Linked DNA regions of Diceros bicornis minor. The protein of the gene in region 3 purifies or fractionates together with the protein of the main gene of each other region. This does not show direct contact. Links are inferred from orthologs where the notes say so. Each region holds a gene or a part of one and is shown on either strand. Other genes may lie near its edges.

Region 1 (8,059 bases), on a different chromosome or scaffold from region 3:
GTTAATACGCTATTTTTAATAAATCTTTTCTTATGGAAAGCAGGTCAAACAAGTGTTAGCAATTAAAGAGCATGTAGTTCAAACATACAAAATAAAGGAGCCTGCACTATATAATCATTAAGGATCCATCCTGGTCACAGTCTCTGTCTCAAAGAACTCAGGGTCTAGGAAAAGAGAAAATGTGAGGCAATAAATACACTGCATTACAGTGCAATAACAGCAGATGTTCCACTAGATAAAATGGAGGGGGGGATCACTGCTGTCTAAAAAGACGAAGGAGGAAGTGTTAGGCTATAATACCAAGTAAGATAAAGACAGAAAACTATTTAGCAATTAAAAGGTCACTGGCAACCTCTACCAACCAGAGTTAGAGGCAAAAGTTACTTTGCACTGTGCTGGGAAGTGAACAAGGCGGGGAGGTGTAGAAAATCTCTTTGAGACTGATTAGAGAAAGGTCTATTTACAAAATCAAAAACCTGAGCAAATAGGTGGGCATAGTGGTCTTCAGACACATACAAAAGAAGAATATTCGAAGTAATGCACTCAAAAGATAATCTTCAAACAAATTCATATAAACCAATTGGTGATTTAGTGAATGAGTGAAAACAGAAGTTTCCTTCATAGTTTCTCCAGAATTGTGCTGAGGGTCAGATTACCATAATACTGCAGAGACCACCATATACCATCCACCATGAATGCACTTTTGGAAAGATCTCTTTGTAATCATCTAAGAGAAAGAAAAAATAATCTCAAACTTAACACACAATTAAATGTCAGTCTTCTTCCAATTTTGCCAATTCAAAGTCATAGAGATTAAGACCTAAGGACACTAGGAGCTCTGCTTTGTTCAGGGTAAGTGATTAAATATCTTTGCTCCCAAACCAATTGCCTATCCTGAACTGTTTCTAATTTCCAAAAGCCCAAACACTTCAGTACAGAGAAAACAACAAAAAACTAGTTATTTTTAAAGAATTTTTAATATCATAAGACTACAAACGACACAGTTCCCTAATATTAATAGAAGGTAGTAGGTTTGGAATACCAAAAATCTCTTCCTTTGTTTCGGCATTTCAGATTTCTCCACGATTACAGTAAATCATCAAGAACCAAGTATATGAAATGTTTAATTCAAAAAAGATAACAGCCATAGTCATTCTCTCCTCTACAGTGAGAATAGCCTCTTAAAAAGATAAGGTTGCTTATATCAAAGGAGAAAACACTTTGAAACTTAAGCATGTTTCCTCCTTTGTTGGCACTCGAAATACAATTTTTTAAAAATCAGAGTTATTACGAAGGATTTTAACTTAAATTAAAAAAAAAAAAGACATCATCCTTGTCAAGTTACCTAATCCAAATTCACTTAAGCAGTTACAAGAGTGAACCCTACTTGAGTAACAAAACAAGTCTGTACAGGAGCAGAGTAAGATGTGCACTCCTATTTAAAAGCACTGTCTGCTGAAAAACTTCTCTAAATATAACATGTTTATGTGTAACTCTTTCTGTGGAGCTGGAAAAAAAGGCTTCCTTAAAATAAAAGCTCAAAGGAACTGGCTTTTCTAACTTCGCTAGTCATTTCTCAGACAGGTGCAGAGTTCGCCTAAAGCCCTCCCTCCATCAAGCCCCCATTCAAAAAGGTGCCTTCCAAACACAATTTATTTGGTTGCTATAACACTTGGTTTCTAAGCCACAAAGGGATTCCTTCTAAGTGGAGAGGATAAAGCATAAGAAAAAGGGAGGATCAGGCTGTTTCAGTGATTGATCAATTCAGGTTCTCACTTGGAGATCCTGTTTAAACACAGATCTCTGAAACACCCCGTTGTTTGGTGTCACAGGACAAGGAGATCTCTTGGGATAAACCAGGCAAGGGACTGAAAATTTAGGGGTTGAAACTACACACGCAGCAGCTCCGGATTCTTATCAAAACAATAGCGAGTGGCACATGTCAGGCGGCCCACATGCGCAGGGGGATAAAGAGGAGACTGGCGGAGGCTGGAGTTGAACTTGTCTTAACCCCCTCCCCCAACTCCCACCGCCGCGCTCCGGGCTCGCGAAAGTGAAAACGAGGGGCGCCCGGGGCCCTGCTCTCCGCCCCCCCTTCCCCCGCCCAGCCCCGACTTCTTCCTCACCCGGTCTCCCGGGGGCGGAGACGCTGAGTTCTCCGGGGCCGGGAGTTAGTCACCAAGAAGAGGCGGTGACAGAGCGCACGGCTCGCGTCGCACACTCGCGGCCTAGCCGCACCGGACGGGAGGCCGCCGGCGGAGGCTCTCGTGCCCCGGGCCCCACCGCCCCCGCCCGCAGGCAGCTCCCTCCCGCCCTCCCCGAGTCTCACCTCCGCTCCCGCCCGCCCCGACCCTAGGCAGCTCCCACGTCAGGCTCCACTCCACCGAAGGAGCGACGCCCAGCCCGGCCGTTTCCTGCCCCCGGGGGCGGGGATTCCCTCCCCGGGCCGGGGGACGGCGGCCCCGAGCCGCTGACCCGAGCGGGGATCCCCTCGGCCGCCGGGCGGGGATCCCGGAACTGGCCCCGAAGCGCGCGTGTGGCCGCGGCGGGGAGGGGCGAGGCGGGGAGTTTCCGCCGCCCGGGCGGCCGCCGCGGCGAGAGGCGGTCCCCACGGCCGGCCGGGGACCCCAGCCTTCCCCGCCCCGGCCGCTCTCCCCGCGCGCCGCCCCGGGACCCCGCGCAGCCACCGCGTCGGACTCCGGGGACGGAGAGGCGCGGGCCCGCGGCCACCCGTCACTTTCAAGTCGCCCCGCCAGAAGCCCGGGGCGAGGACCGGAGAGAGACAAAAGGCCGCTGGGGAGGGATCCCCCACACCCTCGCACCCCCGCGCCGCCCGGCCCTTACTCGTAGTGGCGGAAGATCTCGTTGGTGACTTTACAGTAGAAAACTTCCTCGTCGGGCCGCAGGTCGGCGGGCGGCTGCTGTCTCACAAACGGCTTTCGGTGGAGCAGCGGCATCTCCCGGCCGCCCGCGGGCTCTCCCGGACCCCGGCCGCGTCGGCGCCGCTCCCCTATCAGAAGTGGAGGGAAAGGACAGCCGGTAAGGTGGGGAGCGCTCGGCGGCGCCGGCCGGTCCGCGCGCCGGGGAAGCTCCACTGCCTTTTGTGTGACAGACGCGCCGCGGCTGCCACCGGGGCCGAGGTGGCCCCCGTCGCTGCCGGGGTACTGAGCGAGCGGAGCCGCCGCCGCCTCCGCACGCCCGGCCGCCGGCTCACAATGGGGCCGAACGCCCCGCCGCGAGCGGGCGGTGCGGGAGCGCGGCGGCCCCCTCCCCCCGCGCCGGCTCCCTGCCCGCCGCCGCCGCCGCCGCCGCCGGGCTCACAACGTGCTCGGCGCGCAGCCGGCCCGCCCGACGCCGCGAGGGAGCCGGCTGCCGGCGGCCCCCGGCGCCGCTCCGCTTTGTTCCCCCGCTCGCCTCCACTTCCCCGCCGGCGCTGGCCGGCGCCCGAGCGGCCACACGGAGCCCTTCACCTGCGAGCACGCCGACGGCCACCTCTTCACCTTCCCAGCCACAAAGGCAGCGAGGGGAGGCTCTGTCCTCCCGGGGGGTCGCCGCTCGCCGGCCCCGCCGCGTCGCCCGCCGCCGCGCCGCCCGCTGCCACGGCCTGGCTCCGCGCGGGGGATCGCGTCCCACCGCCGCTTCCCCGCCTCTCGGAGCTCCTGGGAAGTTTCTGATCTACTTTCGGCTCAGAAGGAGGAAGAGCTGTTGGGAGGAGCTTTTCACTTCTCGCTTCTACCTTTTTATTGGCTACTCGATGACTTTTACAGCCTGTCACTGATACAGGAAGAGACGGCGGAGAGCCTGGGAGAGCTACATTATTAATTAATGGAGCAACCCCTTGTGAAGAATCAGAAGCATCCTCCATGTTTGAGATTATCAGCCAAAAGATCTAGGGAAAGCGCTGGGGTTTCGTAAACACAAGTCGAACAAAGTAAAGCCGTCCTCTTCAAGTCTGGCACCATCGCTAGGTTGGTTACACGATGGGAAAAGGAGTCCGATTAAAATTTAACTGTATTTTAAAGATGGGAGGAGGAATAAGAAATAAAAAGTATTTTGATATTTTCTTCTTCCAAATTTGAATTCTCGTGTCTAAAAATATATTTCGCTTGTGTAAACATCCATTTTGAAAAGAAAATACCTTTCTTGACAGCAGTTCTCTTTAATACTTAGAGCAATTCGGTTAAAAACTCAGCAGAGGAAGAGACCAAAAAAGTATATATTAGAAAATGTCATCATGCCTGTAGGACCCTCACATATTTAAAAAACACGCCTTTAACAAGTAATATTTAGAATACACCGCTGAAAATATTTTGCAAAGGATCAATATTTAATTCAATCACTCAGAATTTTAAAGATTATGGATTTACAAGTGAAATTTCCCCTAAAGAAACTTTCCCATATCTATAATTTCCATTTATGAAACTAATTTTAATGTACATAATACATGTGACTTTTGAATTAAAAAGAATTTTCAAAACTACGAATAACTCCAAATGTTTGCCAGCTTTTTAAAAAGGATCTTTTTTGTTACTGCCCTTGACATTTACTTGTTTGCAGATTAACGTGTAAGAATGAATCTCAAAGTAAGGTTGAAGAACAGTCATTCAACAAAGAACATAACTAATTACCAATACTGTGATAGAAACAATGTGGGATCATCTTTACATCTTCAAATACTCCAAAGTATGTATGTACATTGGAGCAGAAAATGTAAGGAATCCAAATCTCAAGAGTTATCATTTTTTAACTTCTTTCAAGATACTTTTAGGGTGGCTTGCAAAAATACAATTTTGTGAAAGGCACTATATGCTTTGAGTTTTAAAAATCATTCATAAAATTAATACACCTCACTGTATGAATATAGAAGTCACAGAGGCTTCGAGATGCCCTCAGTAGCAAGTATATTCTTTAGCCTGGATAAACTCTTCAAAAAATGATGCATTCAAAGATTTGGTGTTTTACACTGGCCTCCAACTAGTACACCAAATGACAATTTAGAATTCCCTACCTAGAAAGTATGTAATTTTCCAGGTGAAAAATTTAGACCCCACGAAGGCAAATTCAGAAAGGGGGACAAGGAGGATGGATAATTTTCAACTGACATTGAAGCATCACTCTCACGATTCAAAATGCTGACTTAACTGTTAAGCTAAAAACAGATGAGATTTCTCTGAATATATAGCATTTATATTTCTTAACTCTCACTGTTTGATAAGCTGTTAAAATAATTTTGTTAAAATCACGATCAAAAATAGTAATGTTAATTTTACTTTTATTAAATACAAAATTTTAAACAATTGGATCCTTTTTTATACTAACTTAAAATTGAAATTTTATTCTGCTTCATCAAAACACTATCATACTCAATTTCCCTACTACCATACTCAAATTTTGCTATCATAACTCAGTTCTCTGAGTTACATACATAGGATTTATTTTAATGATTTGTGATATTTAATAAAAGTTATACATAGTTGTTCATTGTTAATTCAGAATAACGTTAAGTTTAGTAAATTATAGTTGACATATTAAAAAGTTTAGTTTTGATGTGTTTATAATACTTGATCAAATTGATAGCATGCCTAAGCTACCTCAAAATAACACTTCTCTTAAAGTTATCCTACATATTTACTACAAAAAGCTTACCTAATGTATTATTCCATATTTTCGTATCATGATTACTTTCTTGCTTTATTACTACTTCTAGATATTTGAGAGTGAAAAGTTCATTGCTGTATTCAGAAAGTATTTAAAGGAAATGTCATGAAATAGAACTTTGTGTAAAAAAAACTGGCTATATTGTAAAGGAAACTATGGAAGTTAAAGTATCACAGGAAAAAAATAGAGAAAACAATGAAATTGAAATCATTGAATTTTTTAACAATTTAATTCAATTAAACATTTATCAGGCTCCTTTTATGTGCCAAGACACTGTAGTAGCTCATGTAAGGGATACAATGTAAATGTATCCTGGACTCAAAAAATGTACCATCTTGTAGAGAAGAGATGACATCAAGACAGATCACCAATACAAGAATTGTGTGAGTCCTAATGATCATGAGTAACATAATGCAAAAAGAGAAATAGAAAAGATTAGAAGAAAATGTAGAAGGGGGACTCAGGATCAGACCTAAATGAAGTCAGCCACGGGGCATGATTTGAAGGGCAACAGAAAGCTCATGTTCCCATATATCCTTGCCAGTCTCAAGATGCAACCCCCACCCTCCATTAGTCACCCCTCTGGGTGAAGATACCAATGGCCCCCACTTAAATGTAAAATGTAAATAAACCAGTTAGGCAGGACATATATTAATCTAATATCATCAAGACATAGTTTAATATTTAAGAAGGTATACTGCCTTCGATAGGTAAAGACAAAACAAGACTATGAATATGTATTTTAAAAGCTTGAGCTAGAATACTTTTCCTGTCTTCTATTGACTGATTAAGAAAGGCTTTACTTAGGTGGTTTGGTGAGGCAGTAATTACTTAGAGCTGAAGGAAACCTTTGGGAACTCAATTCTCTCATTTGCAGCTAAGGAAACTGAAGCTCAGGAACTGGAATCTTGGCCTCCTGACTCCTTGTCCAGTCTCTTCAGACCACACTGCTCTTTCCTGGGATTCGATAACATCTAATTTTCTTATATAACCTACTTACACTGTATCCATAAATAAGCCAAAATACCATTCCAAATCCTTCCTAAACTGTTAAAATGCATAAGGGGATAAGATATATTACTCATGATCAGAAATAATAGTTATTTTTGAGAATTATCCAGGAAAGCGATGGGGGTAATAAGAATCTTAAATTTGTCTAATTGAACAGCTGACGAGTCCTGTCTCCGTGCTTCAGTTAATACATCTAACAAATATAAACACTTCATGTCCCTTACCTCTAAGTAGCAGTTGTAAAAGTGTTTAGAGTATAGCTACCCTGAACTCTTCTGAGAAAGTCTTCTAAATATATACAAGGAACATCAACTTTATAACTCCTTTCCTCAATATCTCTGACACCTGTCTCAACTCTTCTATGTTCTGTTTTTAAAGTCTTCCTGATGAATTCATGGCATTTTACCTATAAAAAATTTCTATATATTGTTCTTTAGAAGCAATGAATATGTTTCCCTTCATAGCTGAAACCACTGGCCTAGTGTTGGGATAGTGGTTCTAGACCTTAGCTGCCCATTGAAATCACCAGAGGGGTTTTTGAAAAGTACTGATGCCTGGGCCATACCCTAGACCAATTAAAACAATCGCTGGGGACCCAGGAACTTGGAGTTTAAAAATCTGCTCAGGTGATACTAATGTACTGTGAAGTTTGAGAACTACTATGCTTAGAGGAGATTGGATGCTTAATGCTGAAGTGGTAATGTTAGCAAATTTGGAATGCATTTTTTTATTCAACCCGTTGTGATTAAAGTCATGAATTATGTGATGGTAGTAGGAGTTGAAAGAATAGTCTATGGCCATCATTATTATCACAGTAATAGTTTACACTTAATGAATGCTTCCAGCTTGTCAAGCATTGTGCTAACGGCTTTAAATGAATCATCTCATGCAATTCTCACAACAAAGTACTATTTATCATTTCCATTTTACAGATGAAGCTGTTGAGGCGCAGAGAGGTTAATTAAGTAGCATGCCCAAGGTCATACAGCCCAGAGGCAGAAAAGCCCAAATTATTGACTCCAGTGTCCAACTCCTTACTACTAGTCTATATTTCCATGGGACTGATTTGCTAATCTAACTCTGACATAAATTGAAACAAGGAACTCGATCGTATGCACTATACCATTTAGAACTTGTAATAATTAAGAATGTTTGTAAATCATAAAAGCACTAGAGGAAACCAGGAAGAATTTAAAAAATTATCTCAGAGTGAGGAAAGCTTAAGTATAACACAAAGCCCGGAACCCATAGAGATAATTCTATAAAATAAAAATTAAAAATTTCTCCATGACAAAAGCTACAAGCCAAGTTGGAAGACAAATATCAAACTGGGAAAAAATTATTTGCAACTCACTGTGAAAGGGCTAATTTCCCTAATATATAAATAATG
Region 2 (8,013 bases), on a different chromosome or scaffold from region 3:
AAGCAGGACTTCCTTTTATTTGTCCTAAATGTATCTGGATCGGGTTGCAAAGGAAGCTCCCTCCATCCTTGTATCTGGCCATCGAATGACCAAGGCAGTGTTGACCTTCCAGCTGCCGGTTACCCTCAGCCATCACCTTTTCATGCTGGTTTGTATGTCTTTCCACCATTGTGTCCTTCCACATCCCTATAGCTGTTCTCATCAGAGCCACACCCCCACCCCACCGTGCAAAATTGGTTTTGGGCCTTTGGGTCAGGAGCCCTGGAGGCCTGAGAGCAGCTACCTGGCTTCTTTCTTAAACCTGTGAGCAACTCCCTCATTCTTCTCCACCTTCACCCCTCAGCACTTAGCTTTCTGCTTGGTTACCCACTTGGCTCTCAGCCCCATCTCTGTGGCAGGACCAGCCACCCCTGACAAGCCTCGGGCCCATTCTCTTTCCAGCTGGCCTACCAAGGTCCGATACTTTCTCAGAACAGCCTAGTGGAGTTCTGTGCCCACCCCGCTGGGTGCCCCTCCTCCCCCCACTGACCCTGACCTATTGGAAGGGTACAGTAAAGACATTCACCTCAGAGAAGGGAATGATGCTATGGAATTTCAACCCCCTTCCCACCCCTGTGTATAGCTGAAGCCATTGGTATCTGCACCACTGATCACCCTGATGCCCGAGGGCTTGTGGACCATGGAGAAGGACGCGTTGATCAGCTACTCCTTGACCCCAGGCTTCCTCAGCAGCCCCTGGGACTGGATTGGACTGTATAAGGTGATGTGGCAGGCGAGGCAGGGAGTCCCTGAGCCACACCCCTCTGATTGATCCATCCTGAGGGCTCACGGGAACTGGGCACAGAGACTGAACTCACCCTTGTCCACCCCAGGGGTCCTTGCCCACCTAGAGGCTGGCAGTGAAGGAGAGAGAGGCATCCAATATGATGGCCAGCCCTAGGAATGAGACGACCCTCTCCTTCAGATTTGCCGTAGGTCCCACGTCCTCCATGACCACTGACCCCCCGACCCTCCCTCCCACAGGTGGGACTGCGCCACATTAATGACTACGTGTCCTATGTCTGGGTCGGGGACAACCAGATCTCCTTCAGCGTCGGGCTGAACCAGGTACCTGCCTCCCTTCCTGAGATAGGTATTCCACATTTCCAGCAGGTGGGCTTGCCCGAGCACTCCTGTCTTCTGGAAGGAATAGAGAGCTGGATAACTTGTCATTGAGAGCTGGGTGGGGCCCAGGACCATGGAGCTGACCCCATTCCTGTCCATCCCCCGCTCCAGGTATACATGGACATCAGCGATATCCCAGAGACTGAGGATCAGTTTCTCCTCTGTTACTATAGCAACAGTCTACATTCTGTGGTGGGGATAAGCAAACCCTTCAAGGTAGGAGATGCTGGTGGGGTCAGGGGAAGGGTATCACAGATGATGTGAGCCCATCATCAGTTCACCGAGGCCACAGGCCTAGGAGCCAGCCCACATGGTGGAGCCGCATCAGTTGGGGAATGGAGTGATGACACGGAGGAGAGCCTGCTCTTCTCCCTTCCGCTCACCACCTGCTTTATTCCTGCAGATCTGGCCTCGCTCGCTCTTTGGGGAGGATCTACTGGATGAAGCCCAACCACAGTTCTGAGCTGGGACGAGTGAATCCAGGGCGGAGGCCAGAGCTGGCAGCCAGCTCTGCCTACCACTGCCAGGAGCATTGGGGACCCAGCCCAGCCCTCTGAAGAGGGAGCAAGTATCCTCCACCTCCCAGGGGGAGCTCTAGCACACTCCTTTGCTCTCTCCAATCTAGATCTCTAGAATCAGCCTCTTAAATACAGGTTTTTGGTACTGAGATGTGAGTGAAACCAGCTAGTTTGTCAACAGTGAAGACTTGTGGACAGTCCACCAGATGTGGGAAAGACCCTCCAGCCTGCATCTCATTTTTTGATTTTCCCCCCACACACTTCTAGTCCTGCCCAAGCAGGCCTGCCAGGCACATGCCCCATCTGGCACAGGCCTGCATTCTTGTCACGCCATCCTGGGCCTCAGGCTGCCTGGGAGGGGGAGATACATTTGTACAGGCTCCATAGACTGGTTAGCACAAGCAGCACTGGGTTCCAGGAGTCTTGGCATTTTGTTGCCTGTCCCCCTGAGGGATGGGCAGAGGGTCTGGGATCCTTGCTTTCAGCAGAAGCAGTATGACTAAGTGGGCAGGATGAGGGGTCCCTCCACCCAGGCTCTTTGGTAGGGTTGTGGACAGGTTGATGAGCGTCCTTCTGCCAGCACCCCCTCGCCCCCATGGAGTATGAACCAGAAAGTTCCAGGGCCTGAACAGAGAATTGGACCCAGGTTCACTTCTGCTGGTGGGTCAGGCTCCATGCCCCCAACCTGCCCTCTTGTGAAGGGTTGGCCAGGTGGTAGAGGAGCTGTGGCCACAGGCTTTTCCAAGATAGTCCTTGCCCAGCTGAGCTCATCTGCCTGTACCCTTGCCTGCAGTCATTGGCCAGAAACCTATCTAGACTGCTCTGGGACCTAGAGGTGGGGGCAGGCAGAGAGGAGAGCCAGAATCAAGACATTTTGGAGAATCTGGCACTGGGGGTCTTCAGAGAGCATTCTCCAGGTGCTGCGTGGACAAGGTCTGTCCCCACTCCCACCACTTGCCTCCAGCCACTGGTGACTCAACAGCCCTTCTCGCAGGAGAAGACACCTCAGGGAGCCCGCTCTGTGACTGTCATGCCCATCCTATGATCTGAGACAGGGCCACTCCAGTTGCTGTACGTTCCATACTCCACCCTGGGAGCTGTGGGTACCATCTAGAACTGTCCCCTTGGCTTTAGAGGGCCGTGGCTGTCTGTGTTCTGTGTCTGTTGCATTGGGGCATAATTAGAAACATGGCTTTTACACTTGTTTGTGACTCCTTCATGATGGTGGTGGGAGGGGGCACATGGTGATGGGCCGTTGCTAGACTCTAGGACGAGGGCCCTGTAGATCCAGACTAGACTTTCTGTGTCTGCGAGTGACAGATGTTGCCTGGGTAGGAATGAGATGAGGTTCTGGGATGGTGGCCCTCTGGGTCCCTGGCCCAGTTGGGGCATGCTACCTATGCTGTTGGGCACTTAGTTTATTCCATTGCTAAATAGAATGGGTTTCTTGGAACTCAGAAAAGGTGCTTACTCTGCTCTCACTGGTCCATCCCTCCTTACCTGTCACTCTCTCACACCTTAGTCTTGACCACTGGTCCTGGGTTAAGCTATCCAAAAATGTCACCATCTTTTCTCTCTGTGCCGCCTCTCCCCAGATCCCCATACCCCGAGGTTCCCATTGTAATCTCTCTCCCTGTCCCCAACACACACACACCTGAGGAACCCTGAGCCCTCGCACTTGCCCACCTCATTCCTTCTCACGTGCACAACCATTTGTTTGGCAGATGGGGAAACCAAATCTCAGAGAAGTGGCATGAGCCCTCTGGAGTTACACAGGCAGCTGTGGTGTTACGCAGGACCAGAAACAGGACTGGGGTCAAGACCTAGGTTTGAATCAGTTCCATCTCTATCCACATAGGAGTCTCAGTTGTCTGTAAAGTACAAATAATGAACCTATTCACAAGATTATTGTGAGAGAACAATTGCAAAAAACACAGAGCAATCCTATACCTACCTCCTCATTCTGATTAATGTAGCCCTGGGCCTGGGTCTCAGGGCTTCTGACTCCAGGGCTCCCCCGTTTCTCCTGCTGTGGAGCATTTTTGTCCTCCACGTGCCCACCTCTCCCCTGCCCCCTTAAGTCTTCACAGACCCCTACCCCGCCTCCTGTTGCAGGGCGCTCCTTGCCTGGGAGGGGTGAGTGCAGCAGTGATTGAGAGGCGGAAGGGGAAGGGGGAGTGCTCTCCCTCCTCTCGGCCCCAGTCAGGATATGGCCGCTCTGGGCCCAGCCATGACCCGCTGGGTGGAAACAGGAAATATGTGAGACTCCGTGTGTGCTGGGTCTCTGCGCCTGGCTCCGAGGCTGATAAGGGCCATTGTGTGGCTGCCGGGGATGAGCCTGCCTTGGATAGATGTGCTTCCCGGAGGAAGGAAGGAAGCTTTGCTGGCCTTTCCTGGGCGGGGGAAGCTGTGGGGAGGAAAGGGAAGGGTGCCTGGGGGAAGATGCCTGCCCGAGGGGCTGTCAAGACCAGCAGAGGCCCACTGGCCTCTGCCCCTCCTATGCCAGTGTCTCCCTCTGGAAAGGTTGCTTTCCCTCATCCACTTCCCCCTTCTCACTTCCTATAAGGAATGGCTGGAGACTAGAGGGCTCAGTCCCAGGCCAGGAAAGTGTCAGCTGTGATTTAGCAACAATAAAGACAGAAAAACAGGAACATGCTGGTTAGGGGGCACATGAGGGTACTATGGAAAAGCAAGAAGCGAACAGAGCTAAGGCTGCCCACAGCCAAGGAACCCAGGGACCAACCTCCCAAGCGCTTGAGGCTCCAGAGGAGGGTGGGACAGGGGCTTCCTCAGAGTGTCCCCTGCCTCTCCAGCTAAACCCCTCTGCCCAACATGGCCATCCCCCACCAGCCCTAGCCTCTCAAACTCAAGGGGCTCACTTGCTGCTGTGGGAGGCAGGCAAGCTGGGGAGCATGCAGGAGGGGCAGTGCCTATTGATGGATCCTCTTGGCTTAGGGCAGGATGTGCGTTCTGGTTTGGGGAGTGGTCACTGTGCTCTCCAGCTTTCACCAGTGAGTGGGCAGCGAGAGAGGCCAGCCATGGAGCTGCTGGGGGGAAAAGCCTCCTACCCTTTGACCTGGAGCCCAGGGTCCCCCACGGTGGCTGCACTGCATCAGCTCCTCTGGTTACCTGGGACAACAGGCATTTCCTCCATCCCTCAGCCCCTCCTCTTCCTGCCCCAACCCACTGGGCCAAGAGGCCTCCCAATCAGACCTGGGCTGCTCCAGCTGTGTCCTGAGGAGCTGGACCAGACACATCCCCTGGGGCTGGAGTTGAAGCTGAACCAAGTGGCCATCCCGGCGTGAGACCAGATTCCTGGCTCCGGGAGCAGCCAGAGCCAGTGGGCAAGCAGGCAGGCAAGCTTTTGCTCAGAGGCCCCAGTGCTCTGCACGCTGGCTATCCACAGGCAGAATGGCGCTGCAAGTGGAGCTGATACCCACCGGGGAGATCATCCGCGTGGTTCATCCCCACAGACCCTGCAAGCTTGTAAGCTGGGATGCTCTGGGCTGGGAGGAAGGGTGGCAGTGTCTCCCCAGGGCCCAGTAGCCCCTCTTAAGCAAACCCCTCAGGAAAGTGGTGAGCAGTGGGGAGGGGTTCTGATCCTTGGTGGGACCGGAACAGATTGGACAAGAAGGGGTGAGGGTTTAAGCACCACTAGGGGCAGGGTTTTTCGAAGCAGGAATCTGAGTTTGAACCCCTTCTCCTCTGGTTCCCTGATCCTCAGGGGGCTATGAACTGGTGACAGGGCTGCTCTGAGATCAAAGGATCTATGCGCTCCAGGCGCATAGTACAGGCTCAGTTAATGTCTCGCCTTTCTCCGTCTGGCCCAAAGAACTGGGACTGGCCAACTCAGAGCAGTAGCGGGGTGGGGGTAGGGGGGAGTGAAGGGAGGTAGTCACAAAGGGACAAGAACTGACCCGGCCTGGCACGCAGGGGAGGGTCGGGTTTGCTCTGGGGATGCAAAGGGGCCCTAGAATGAGGAGGGAGAGAAAGCCATCAGATGCACCCACCCACCCAACACTGCAGCGAGTGGGCCGGGTCTTTGGCTGGAAGGGGGGTGCGCGCGCGTGTGTGTGTGACAGTGACGCGCCTCGTCCCAGGAGCTGGTTGCGGAGTGTGCGGCACCAAGTCTCCGCGGACGCGGGCCGGGGCCAGGGCCAGGGCCGCCAGGGCCGGGCGGGGCCGGAGGGAGCGCGCGCGCGCGCGCGCGCCGAGGCCTGGGCCCTGCCCGGGATGACGACAGGCAGCGGCCCGGCCCCGGGCGGGCCTTGGGCGGGGAGAGCGTGCCAGGGCCGAGCACTGGGGAGCCGGCCACGCCGCCCAGCCTGGCCCCCGCCCACGCACGCGAAGAACCGAGACGGTGGGTACACGGGGCCCGGGCGCCGGGCGGCCAGCAGCCGCGTGGCCCGTAGAGGCCTCCGCTGGCGGGTGGGATGGGGGCAACGGGCAGGCGGCCAGGCGCCGAGCTACCGTGCGGGAGGCGGGGGTCGCTGGGGCCGAGGGTCGGCTCGGCCCGGGCCGTACGTGGTCCCAGGACCCGCTGGCGCCGGAACTAGGCCGGGTAGAGACTTAGATTACTTGCGGGTAACGTGAGGGCGGGAAGGAGCAGCTGGGGTCCCGGGACCCAGGCACCCTGCGCGCCCTTTGGGCCCCTCCACCAGCCAGGCTCTGCCTCTGGGTTCCGCACAAGCTGCCCGAGCCCCGCCCCTTCCCCTTCTCCGCCCCCCGGACCCAGCCGCGCCAGTGGCTTCTGCGCGCCTCGGCGTGAGTGTGGTAGATGGGGGCCTCCGAGATGAATGAGAGAATGAATGGCTGGCCCAGGGCCTTATGCAACTCCCAGCGCGCTCCGGCCTCCTGCTCACACTCCCGGGCTCTGTGATTCATTCATTTATGCAGGCGTCTACGAGGGGTTATTGAGCCCCGACTGTGTGCCGGACTGGGTGTACGCTCCGGGCGGGAGCAGGCTACTGGGAGAGACCCACAAGAAAACCGGCGATTAGAGCGCAAAGCGATAAGGAGGGGGCTGTGTGTTGGGGATAGTCGGAAGGGGTTCTGGAGGAGGTGATACCTGAGCTGAGTCTTCAAGGATGACTAAGAGTCAGTCAGGTGGGGAGGAGGGAGGGTGCGCTGGGCCAAGGAAGTTGCAGGTGCAAAGGCAAGAAGCTTAGAGAGCCACATGTGGCTGGTGGCAGGGGTGGGAGCAGCTTCTCCTGGCTCTGTGTGGTGGTGAGGGAGGCATGGGGAGAGAAGGGACTGGAGAGGGCCACCCCTATGGTCACACAAGAATGCAGGAGCAGGGGGGTAAACTGAGGACAGAGGGGGCTGCTGGAGTCTATACTCAGGGGCCTGGCAAGAAGCAGTGGGTGTGAAGTACAGGCTCGGCACATGGGCTTGGCACATGGACCGGTGCCCTATAAACCTTCACTCTATTAACATGAGATGTTAATTGATTGATTTGCATTTGTAAATACCACAGGCTGCTGTGGGGAAATGGATTGGAGGAGGAAGGCAGGGAGGCCAGTTTGGAGGCTGCTGCCCGGTCAGGAGTGGAGCAGTGATGGAGGAGCAGGGGGTGGGGGGTTTGGCGAGTGTTGACTCTTGGTGTGAGGAGTGGAGGGACAGGACAGGCCTTTTGAGGTCAGGTGGTGATGACTAGCTGGAGGTGCCTCCCTTCTCTCTACCTACAGGATATTAAACAAGAAGGATAGGGGGCAAGGTGCTCTGTTTACTTCTGCTGGACCCCCAGGCAGAAGTGTCTAGCAGGCCAAAGGCCCATGGCTCCGAAGCTAGAGTGTACAGCCCCTGACTGGGGTCCTGTGAGCAATTAGGTAGAGCCCCTAAGGCCCCACTTTTCCTCCCCATTGCCCCTCACAACGGTTCCCTTGAGTCTAGAACAGTCCTTGGTGGGGCAGCCTGGGCCCAGACCTAAGATATATTCGACAAAGATAAATTGAGGACCTGTTCTGCACCCAGCACTGCGCTGCAGGTGAGAGAGGCTAGGGTTCTTTCCACTGCCCCAACAGGTCATGAGGCTGCCTCTGTGGAAATCAGCTTATAGCAGCGATCTGGGGGTCTTCAGAATACCCTCTCAAGGCCTGGGTGGCCCTGGGCTGGGGGAACATTTGAGGCTGCCCATTGCCCTCCCCTCTCCTCCAGAGGTCAGGCTTGGGTGCACCTGGCCCACACTAGGTAAAGGGCTCTGGATGACCCAGGTCTCCTGGGCCTGCCCCATCCCTGCCTTTGCTGGAAACATCTCCCTATGTGGGAGGAGACCCAGAGGCAGCCTTGGGAACTTAAGTCCTGGGTCACTCAGGGGCCGTGGCAGCACCCC
Region 3 (7,476 bases):
GCTTTCCAACAGTAATCATCATTCCTTCCATAGTTGGGGGGAAAAAAAAAGATTTGGATTCCAAGACTCCTGAGGTCATATGATTATTGGCATACAGAGTGCCTATCTATCAGTCTAGTCAATAGTGAGAGCTGAGAAGAACAAAGACAGGCTCCATCCACACTGCCAAAAGATGATAATAAACAAAAAATGAGATTGTTTCCTTGATCTATCAGTACCAAGCAAAAAGGAAAAACTAACTGAATACATAGGAAAGGTAGCTAATATTTCTGGGAAGGTCAGCTTTGTCAGAAAAAAATCATAAATGAAAGATTTCATTTATTTTCTGATTTGGGGAAAACCCACCTTAAATTCTACTTTCAAAAAGAAAATGGCATTTTAAAATATGTTTTTCAACTGTGAACAGATTGCCAGATATATCATGCATGTATACTCAAACCTAGTTTTTACCATTGATTTTACTCAATGACTTCTGAATTCAGTTGAGGGAAAAAAGCAGACAAGTGACATTTATTTTAAAAGACCAAAAAAAAAAATCACACTATAATGTGAAAAGAAAAAAATCACAACTAAAATTAGTCAGTGAAAAAGAGATTGATAAAAGATAAAATTACTGTAACGCCTATTCTGACAAGGTAAAAGTAAGTCATTCTTTAATAAATGACATTGTCAAATATCTCCTTTGTAAGAACATGATAAGGCAAGATATGTGGGAAAAGGGTCAGTTTCAGAGCAAACATGGGTTCTATCACAGGTTCTACTTATCAGAAGACTCAGTTTCCTCATCTGGCAAATACTAAAAATACCACTGACTTCATTTGGTACTTATTATCACATCAATAGTAATACTTAAACTCTAATTCCACTTTAATTTAAAGATAGCAACTGAAAGCCAAAATAGTTTAGGCTTTAAATTACTCTGCTTTCTGACATTTAAATAACATCTCTAGTGAGACATCGATTATTATTCTAAAATTTAAATGACAGACTCTTTTGAGAGGCTAATGAAAACTCTGGATACCACTTTGTAAACAATTGTGCATTTAAACACAACTGCTTTCAGCGTCACAGATTTTCAAACCCCCTTAAGCCATGGAGTAGGACCAGGTTAAAAAGCCCTGATAATCCAAAAGAACTATTTAAAACCTTGAGTAAAAGAAACAGGCAACACTAGATAGGAAATGGAAACCAATCTCAAATCACTGAAAACTACAGAATATCAGATGTCCTACTTCACTAAAACCTACCCTCATCGCTAAAAGTTCTTTGAAAAACTAACAAAATAATGTTACTTTACCCTGGATTAGACCTTTGGTGCCCAAATAAAAATACTGAACCAAGTATTTCAATGGTAACCTGCGCTTCCATTTCCTTATTGTGTTAATTCTGCATCAAGATTCATTTTTAGAGCAGTATTACCTCCATTCCGTCTATCTAAGGATGGAAAAATCCCAAAAAGCCTTGGGCTGCGACTATAAAATATCTCAAAACAGATCGAAGGCCAAGAATGAAATTTGGAAGGAGCAAGCAATCACTTTGTTCCCAGACATCGCAAAGCCTTGGAGCACACCCAAGAGACCCGCCTGGCCGCTCCCCAATCTTTCCACCCCCGCATACTGTCACCATTCCCCGGCCAACCCTAGCCAAAAGGCAGGGTCGGCAGCGAGCGGGACCAATTTTCAAAAAAAAGGCCAAGGCCCAAAAAGAGGAATTGCGCCGCACTGAAAGCCAACTAACCGCCCTTGGCTCACTAATTCATTCATCCACCCATCCATTCCCTCCCCCTAAATGAGAGGGGGGTCCAAAACAGCTGCTGCTGCCTTGGTCGCTTCCCTCCCTAAGGAACAGTGCCTGGGAGGGGCCTCCTCTCCCTTCACAGGAGCAGCTGCGCCCCGCTTATCCCCACTGCGCACTCGGCCATCCAGCTCTCGCCATTGTTTCTGCCCAGAACAGATACCGCCCCCGCAGGGACCGGGACGAAGAAAAGCAGGCCCAAGTCCTCGGATGCGCTGCTTTTAAATGCCTTCCCCACCCCGCCCGTCTATCCCTCACTCCTAAGGGGCAGCTCCCTCGCCCTTCCCCCAAGTTTAGTGGAAACTAAAACCTAGATTCAGAGACGAGAGAGAGAATTACAGGAGTCTAGAGGAAAAAAATTAAAAAACCCGGGTAAGTCCCTCTTGGCCTCGGTAATCAAGAACATCTGTTTAATAAGAGAGTTCAAGGATTTGGCAAGATTCGCTCCAGAGACAATGTAAAATGGGAAGTGCAGAAATCCATTTCAGCCTCGTTGGGTAGGTTAAACACAAGGGCGCAAGGGTGAGAGCATCATTTCGGATCCAAAGAGTTTGAGGCCGAGTTTGGGTGCAGAGAGGCTACGCACAGCTCTGCGTCCGATCACTAAAATCCAGGCGAGGGAACCAGCTCCTCCTCACCACGGCGCCCTCTCCCCAGGCCACAAGCCGCCCTCACCTCCATCTCGGAGTCCGCGGGGCCGGCGCTGGCCGCACAGGAAGCCACCTGGGCCGCGATGCCCTCGGGGCCGCCTTTGTTGCTGGTGTTGCTCCCGCTGCTGGCGGCCGAGGCTGCGGGCTTGGAACGCGCGCTCTCGGGAGGCGGGGGTGGCGGAGGCTCGGCCGCGGACGACATGATGTTCCTTCTGCGTCACCCGATGCTGCCAGAGGCCGGGCCGGCAGGGAGGAGGAGGAGGCCTAGGCCTGGCCGGCTACGTCGCAATGAGCGGACAGAGGAACGAGAGGACCACCCGAACGCCCCCCGCGCCGCGGCTCCGCGCCGAGCCTGAGCCGGGCCCAGCAGCCTCCTCCTCTCGTCGTCCTCCTCTTCCGCGGGGCTCGGGGTTCGACCGGCGCTTACCTCACGGCGGGAATCACGTCGACGAGAGTGGGCGGGGCCACCCGGGTCACTGAGGTCAGGGAAGGCGGGCTGAATTACAGGAGGGCGGAGGGTTGGAGGAAGAGGAAGGGAAAGCGAAAGAGAGACCGAGGCGAGGAACTAGTTTCGCCCCCTCCGCTTCTTCCTCGTAGATAGCATCTATCTCGCCAGCATCCCAGACAACTACCTACGCCACCGACTTTCAACCCTCGCGAGATTGATAGTTGGCTAATTGACTGAGTACCGAGTGCGCATGCGCATTCTCCTCTCCTCACCCTAGCCACGCCCCCTTCAGGGCCCCCAGCGGGCTCTAGGGCGAGGAGTGGGCGGGGCCTCGAGGAAGAGCTCGGAGACGCAAGTCTGTGCGTCGGCTCCCTGGCGTGACGCGAGCCCAGTCTTACATGCGTTGATAACGGCTGGCTGTCCTCGGCGGCCGTGTGTTCTTGGCTTGGCTGGTTCGGCGGACTCGTGGAAAACTTGCCCAGGTTTTGCGACGCTTACTGAAACGGAGGCCTGTGGTGGCCTTAGCACTTCGATCGCCTCGGCTTATAGGCGTGACGCCACAGCGTTGACGATATTATAGTTATCCCAAGTGACGTCTCACGTTTGTGTTGTCTAAAGAAAAGGGCCCATTAGGGTGATTTTGTTTTGTTTTGTTTTTATCAGTCATTTCTAAATTTCTTCTACTTCCCTTAGGTACAGAAACAATAGTTCCTCTGAATTTACGTGGTAAAAGTAAGCAAATTATGTTCACTCTACCATATGAGAAATCAATAGATAAGGAAGAGTGGCGGTGAGTTGTAATTTATCCTCGATCACCAAATATTAAATAAAAATGCACATCCTTCTCCTTGTTAAAGGTAATCACCACTAATTATTTTGTACACTGCCTTAGGTTATCTTCAACGTAGCCTAAGGGTCTTGTGCATCCATCTACCACAGAATTTAAGCACGTTGTATCTGTCAACTTTAAAATAAAATTGCCAATTATTTTACCAGCAAAATGAGTTTATTTGGGAATAGCAAAGGAATTGCAATTTGGACATGTGCACCATAGGCAAGGCTGAAGAACAAAGGAAGGGAGCTTGCTGTTATACAGAAAAAGGAGTGTTGGGACAGTTCTAAATGAAAGTTCCTTAAATGAAAGTTCCTTGGAGGAGAGTAAAAGTTCAGAGTAGCAGAGCTCCTCATTGGCCGAGCTGCAGTGTTTTCCATCGGTGGGGCTTGTTGCTGGGCAAGAAGAAAATCTTTCCTCCTCCTAGAGAAGTAAGGTAGTAGGCAACTTTCTGTTGGAGATGTAAGGTAGTCTCTTCCTGTTTGGGGTAATTGAGGAAGAGTAGTAGGGCACTGGTGCTCTCTCTACAGGCCTTCCCAACTCCAACTTTAGTTGAGGTTTCTTTTGCTAATGTTCATATATTCTATTTAATGACAAATCTGCATACTACACTAAATTTTTGTCTGCCCTGTACAGGCGCTTATTTATCTTTGTATCTCCATGTCCAGTATTCTATCAGTGTTTATTGAATAAAGCAGGCACATTTTTCAAGAGTTAACGGTTTGAGCTAACTGGTTGATTATGTTGAATTTCAAACAGAAGAGATCTCCTTTGAATATATAGCCTGCAAACTTTTACCTAATAGAATGATAATTCTTTAATTGAGATCTGGAAAAATAATCCCCCAACCCGTTAGAAATGCTAAGGATATGTGAAAAGAAAAATACCTACAATGATGTTCATCATAGTCTTTGCTAGTAATTGCAAAAAACTAGCAATAGGCTAAGTCCAATATTGAAAAGTATGATTCTAGAACTATTGTATACCCACAAAATGAACTATTATTAACCTTTAACAACCATTAATGTAGAAGAACATTTATTCTGAAAAAAACTTTAACTGAATGTTAAAGTTTCAGTTAAAAAAATGTTTAACTGAAAAACGTTTTAACAGTTCAAAAATATAGATAAAAGTTTGGAAGGATAATAAAGTTCTGAAAGTGTTGTTGCTGTATATTTCCTAATTCTTTTTTGCTTGTCTGTGTGTTTTTATATTACTAAAATAAATCTGTATATTATTATATTGAGAAGACTTATTTTTAATATTAAAAATGTTTTCTCACCAAAAAAAATTGTGTGGAAGGATAAAAATGGTAGTATCTAGGGTGGGACCTGATGTATAGACAGTCAATAAATACTTATTGAATAAATATTTATTTAATATTGACATTGTTAAGTAGAAAGAACATAACATTTATTTGGTATTCAGACTATTTCTTCACTCCATAGTGATACATAAATATCTTGGGTCCTGGTTTGGAAACCCTAAAAATATACTTAAGTATATAAATGGAAGGGTCTTAATTCTGACAACTATTTAAGGAAAGCAATAAATAGCAAGAAAAGCAATAAATTAAATTATCTCCAAAATGGCAATTGTACTTTAACATGTGCATTTATACTGTGAGTTTCTCATGTGAGCATGGGAAAGCTGTATTAGAATCTTGCTGGGGAAAATTGTAGAGGAAAGATAATTAGAAAAAAGGACAAAGAGGAGACAGAATGTTTGAATCCACGAATCTAACGTCAGGGACAAAGAAACAGATTTTGAGCAGAGTCTAGGAGCAGTGAGGAAGAGGAGAGGGGAGCTACAGAAAAGATAGGATGCCTGGAAACTGAGCTATAGGGACATTAGCTGAGTTAGTCAGACAGACAGTAGTCTTTATATGGTGGCCAAATCACGAAGGCTCATTTCTCTTAAAGACTAATAGGCTAAAACTAATAGCTACTTCTGGAATTGATAGTATAATATAGGATTAGTGTAGTGGCAAGAGAGTAGGCTGGGGAGTCAGTCAAGCCTAGATTCCAGTGCAGGCTCAAGAACTTAGTAACTGTGTGAATGTAGGCAAGTTATCTAACTTCTTTGAAATCAATTTTCTCATCTTTTTATTATTATATTATCCTAACTTTATATTGGGGTAATCTTATAATGATGTCATAAGAATTAAATGAGATGGTGCATGGAGGGTGTTTAATACAGTGCCTGAAATATAATGAGCCCTGTGTTCAAGTGTTGGGTATTCCAATCCTGAAGAATCGTAAGACTAAGGGTCAGAGTCTAGTTGGAGGAAGAGTAAGCTAATGGTTTTTTAATAAGTAGGAGGATAAAGGAAATAGTGTCAAGGAAACTCTAAAAGAAATTACTGCTTTAACCACGTTCCCAGAAATAAAATGCTACAATATAAAACCACGTTAGTGTTCTATCTCAAATATGCAAATAGGTATTTATGCCTGAAATTCCCTCTGTTAGATTTAGCGTGCTAGAACAGCATGTGCTGTGCTGAATAGAGTGGAACAAAGAGATGTTGCCAAAGGACAAAAGATGTCACAGAGCCAGGACTCTCTCAGCATTTTCACCTTGAATGGTAACAAAAAGGACTTAAGTTTATCAAGGAAAAAGTAGGAATGCTGAGCCTCTCTTCATCACATACTCATTTTATTTTGTGAAAGCCTAGGAGAATAAAATCTGGTTACTACATAACAACAATAAAACAGTATTGAGATTGTGAGTATCTAAGAATGGGAATTTCCAACACTAAATACCAATGATCACATCTTGTCTGTATCTTGCTCAGAATTCTCCTACATAGGTCATTTGCCATGTAAGGGGATTCCAATTAAACCAAAACATTAACTATGCTCTTAATAAAAAAGATAAGTAAGGTTTAAACACATTTCACTTCCTTGAAAAATATAAGCTAAAGTAACTCAGACAATATGAAATAGATAACTTGAATAACGCTATAACTATTTAGGAAATTAAATCATAACCAAAAAACTCCCCAAAAGAAATCTCTAGCCCCAGATGGTTTCAATGGAGAATTCTGTCAAATATTTCCACACAATTCTACACCAATTCTACATAATCTCCTCCAGAAAATAGAAGAGAGTACACGTGCCAATTCATTTTATGAAGCTGCTATAACCTTGATACTAAACCGAACAATGCCACTATAAAAAAAGAAAAAGGCAGACAAATATCACTGATGAATATAGACGCAAAAATCCTTAACAAAACTATTAGCAAATACGGTTATGCAATATGTAAAAATAATTGTGTACCCTGACCAAATAAGAGATTCCAGAGATGCAAGACTGGTTCAATGTTTGAAAATCAATCAGTGTTATCTGCCATATTAACAGATTACAGAAGAAAACTCACATGACTATATCAATCGACGCAGAAAAAGCATTTGACAAAATTTTAACACCCATTCAGGATAAAAACTCTCAGAAAAAAAAAAAAGAGGGAGACTTCCTTCACTTAGTAAAGAGCACCTACAATACCTGCAGATAGCGTTATGCTTGATGGAACTGAATGCTTTTCCTCTAAGATCAGAAACAGGCAAGGATTCTGCTCACACCACTGAGATTCAATACAGTGCTGGAAAGGAAAAACAGAACTGTCCCTATTTGCAGATGACGTGATTACCTACACAGAGAACGCCAAGAAATCTACAAAAACATCCGAAGGCCTAATAAGTGAGTTCTGCAAAGTTTCAGGATACAAGATAAACATTCGAAAAATCAACT

What was found. The genes of interacting proteins can lie anywhere in the genome.
Region 1: the proteins of SMARCA5 (region 3) and BAZ1A purify together in Homo sapiens (affinity purification with western blotting; 8 studies listed by BioGRID and IntAct, with this or other methods). This does not show direct contact. The link is inferred for Diceros bicornis minor from reciprocal best matches to the Homo sapiens genes SMARCA5 and BAZ1A.
Region 2: the proteins of SMARCA5 (region 3) and MYO1C purify together in Homo sapiens (affinity purification with western blotting; 3 studies listed by BioGRID, with this or other methods). This does not show direct contact. The link is inferred for Diceros bicornis minor from reciprocal best matches to the Homo sapiens genes SMARCA5 and MYO1C.

What each region holds. Positions count from the first base shown.
Region 1 is NC_080744.1:14,467,206-14,475,264, reverse strand, and holds the start of BAZ1A (bromodomain adjacent to zinc finger domain protein 1A), read right to left. Parts: upstream 3,099-8,059; 5' UTR 2,958-3,098; coding exon 2,845-2,957; intron 1-2,844. UniProt on the Homo sapiens protein: Regulatory subunit of the ATP-dependent ACF-1 and ACF-5 ISWI chromatin remodeling complexes, which form ordered nucleosome arrays on chromatin and slide edge- and center-positioned histone octamers away from their original location on the DNA template to facilitate access to DNA during DNA-templated processes such as DNA replication, transcription, and repair.
Region 2 is NC_080757.1:16,228,453-16,236,465, forward strand, and holds the start of MYO1C (unconventional myosin-Ic), read left to right. Parts: upstream 1-4,915; 5' UTR 4,916-5,093; coding exon 5,094-5,168; intron 5,169-5,953; exon of another isoform or gene 5,954-6,042; intron 6,043-8,013. Other genes in the region: INPP5K (inositol polyphosphate 5-phosphatase K), read left to right, coding at 623-760, 1,024-1,107, 1,276-1,380, 1,568-1,627.
Region 3 is NC_080750.1:33,315,232-33,322,707, reverse strand, and holds the start of SMARCA5 (SWI/SNF-related matrix-associated actin-dependent regulator of chromatin subfamily A member 5), read right to left. Parts: upstream 3,039-7,476; 5' UTR 2,647-3,038; coding exon 2,470-2,646; intron 1-2,469. UniProt on the Homo sapiens protein: ATPase that possesses intrinsic ATP-dependent nucleosome-remodeling activity.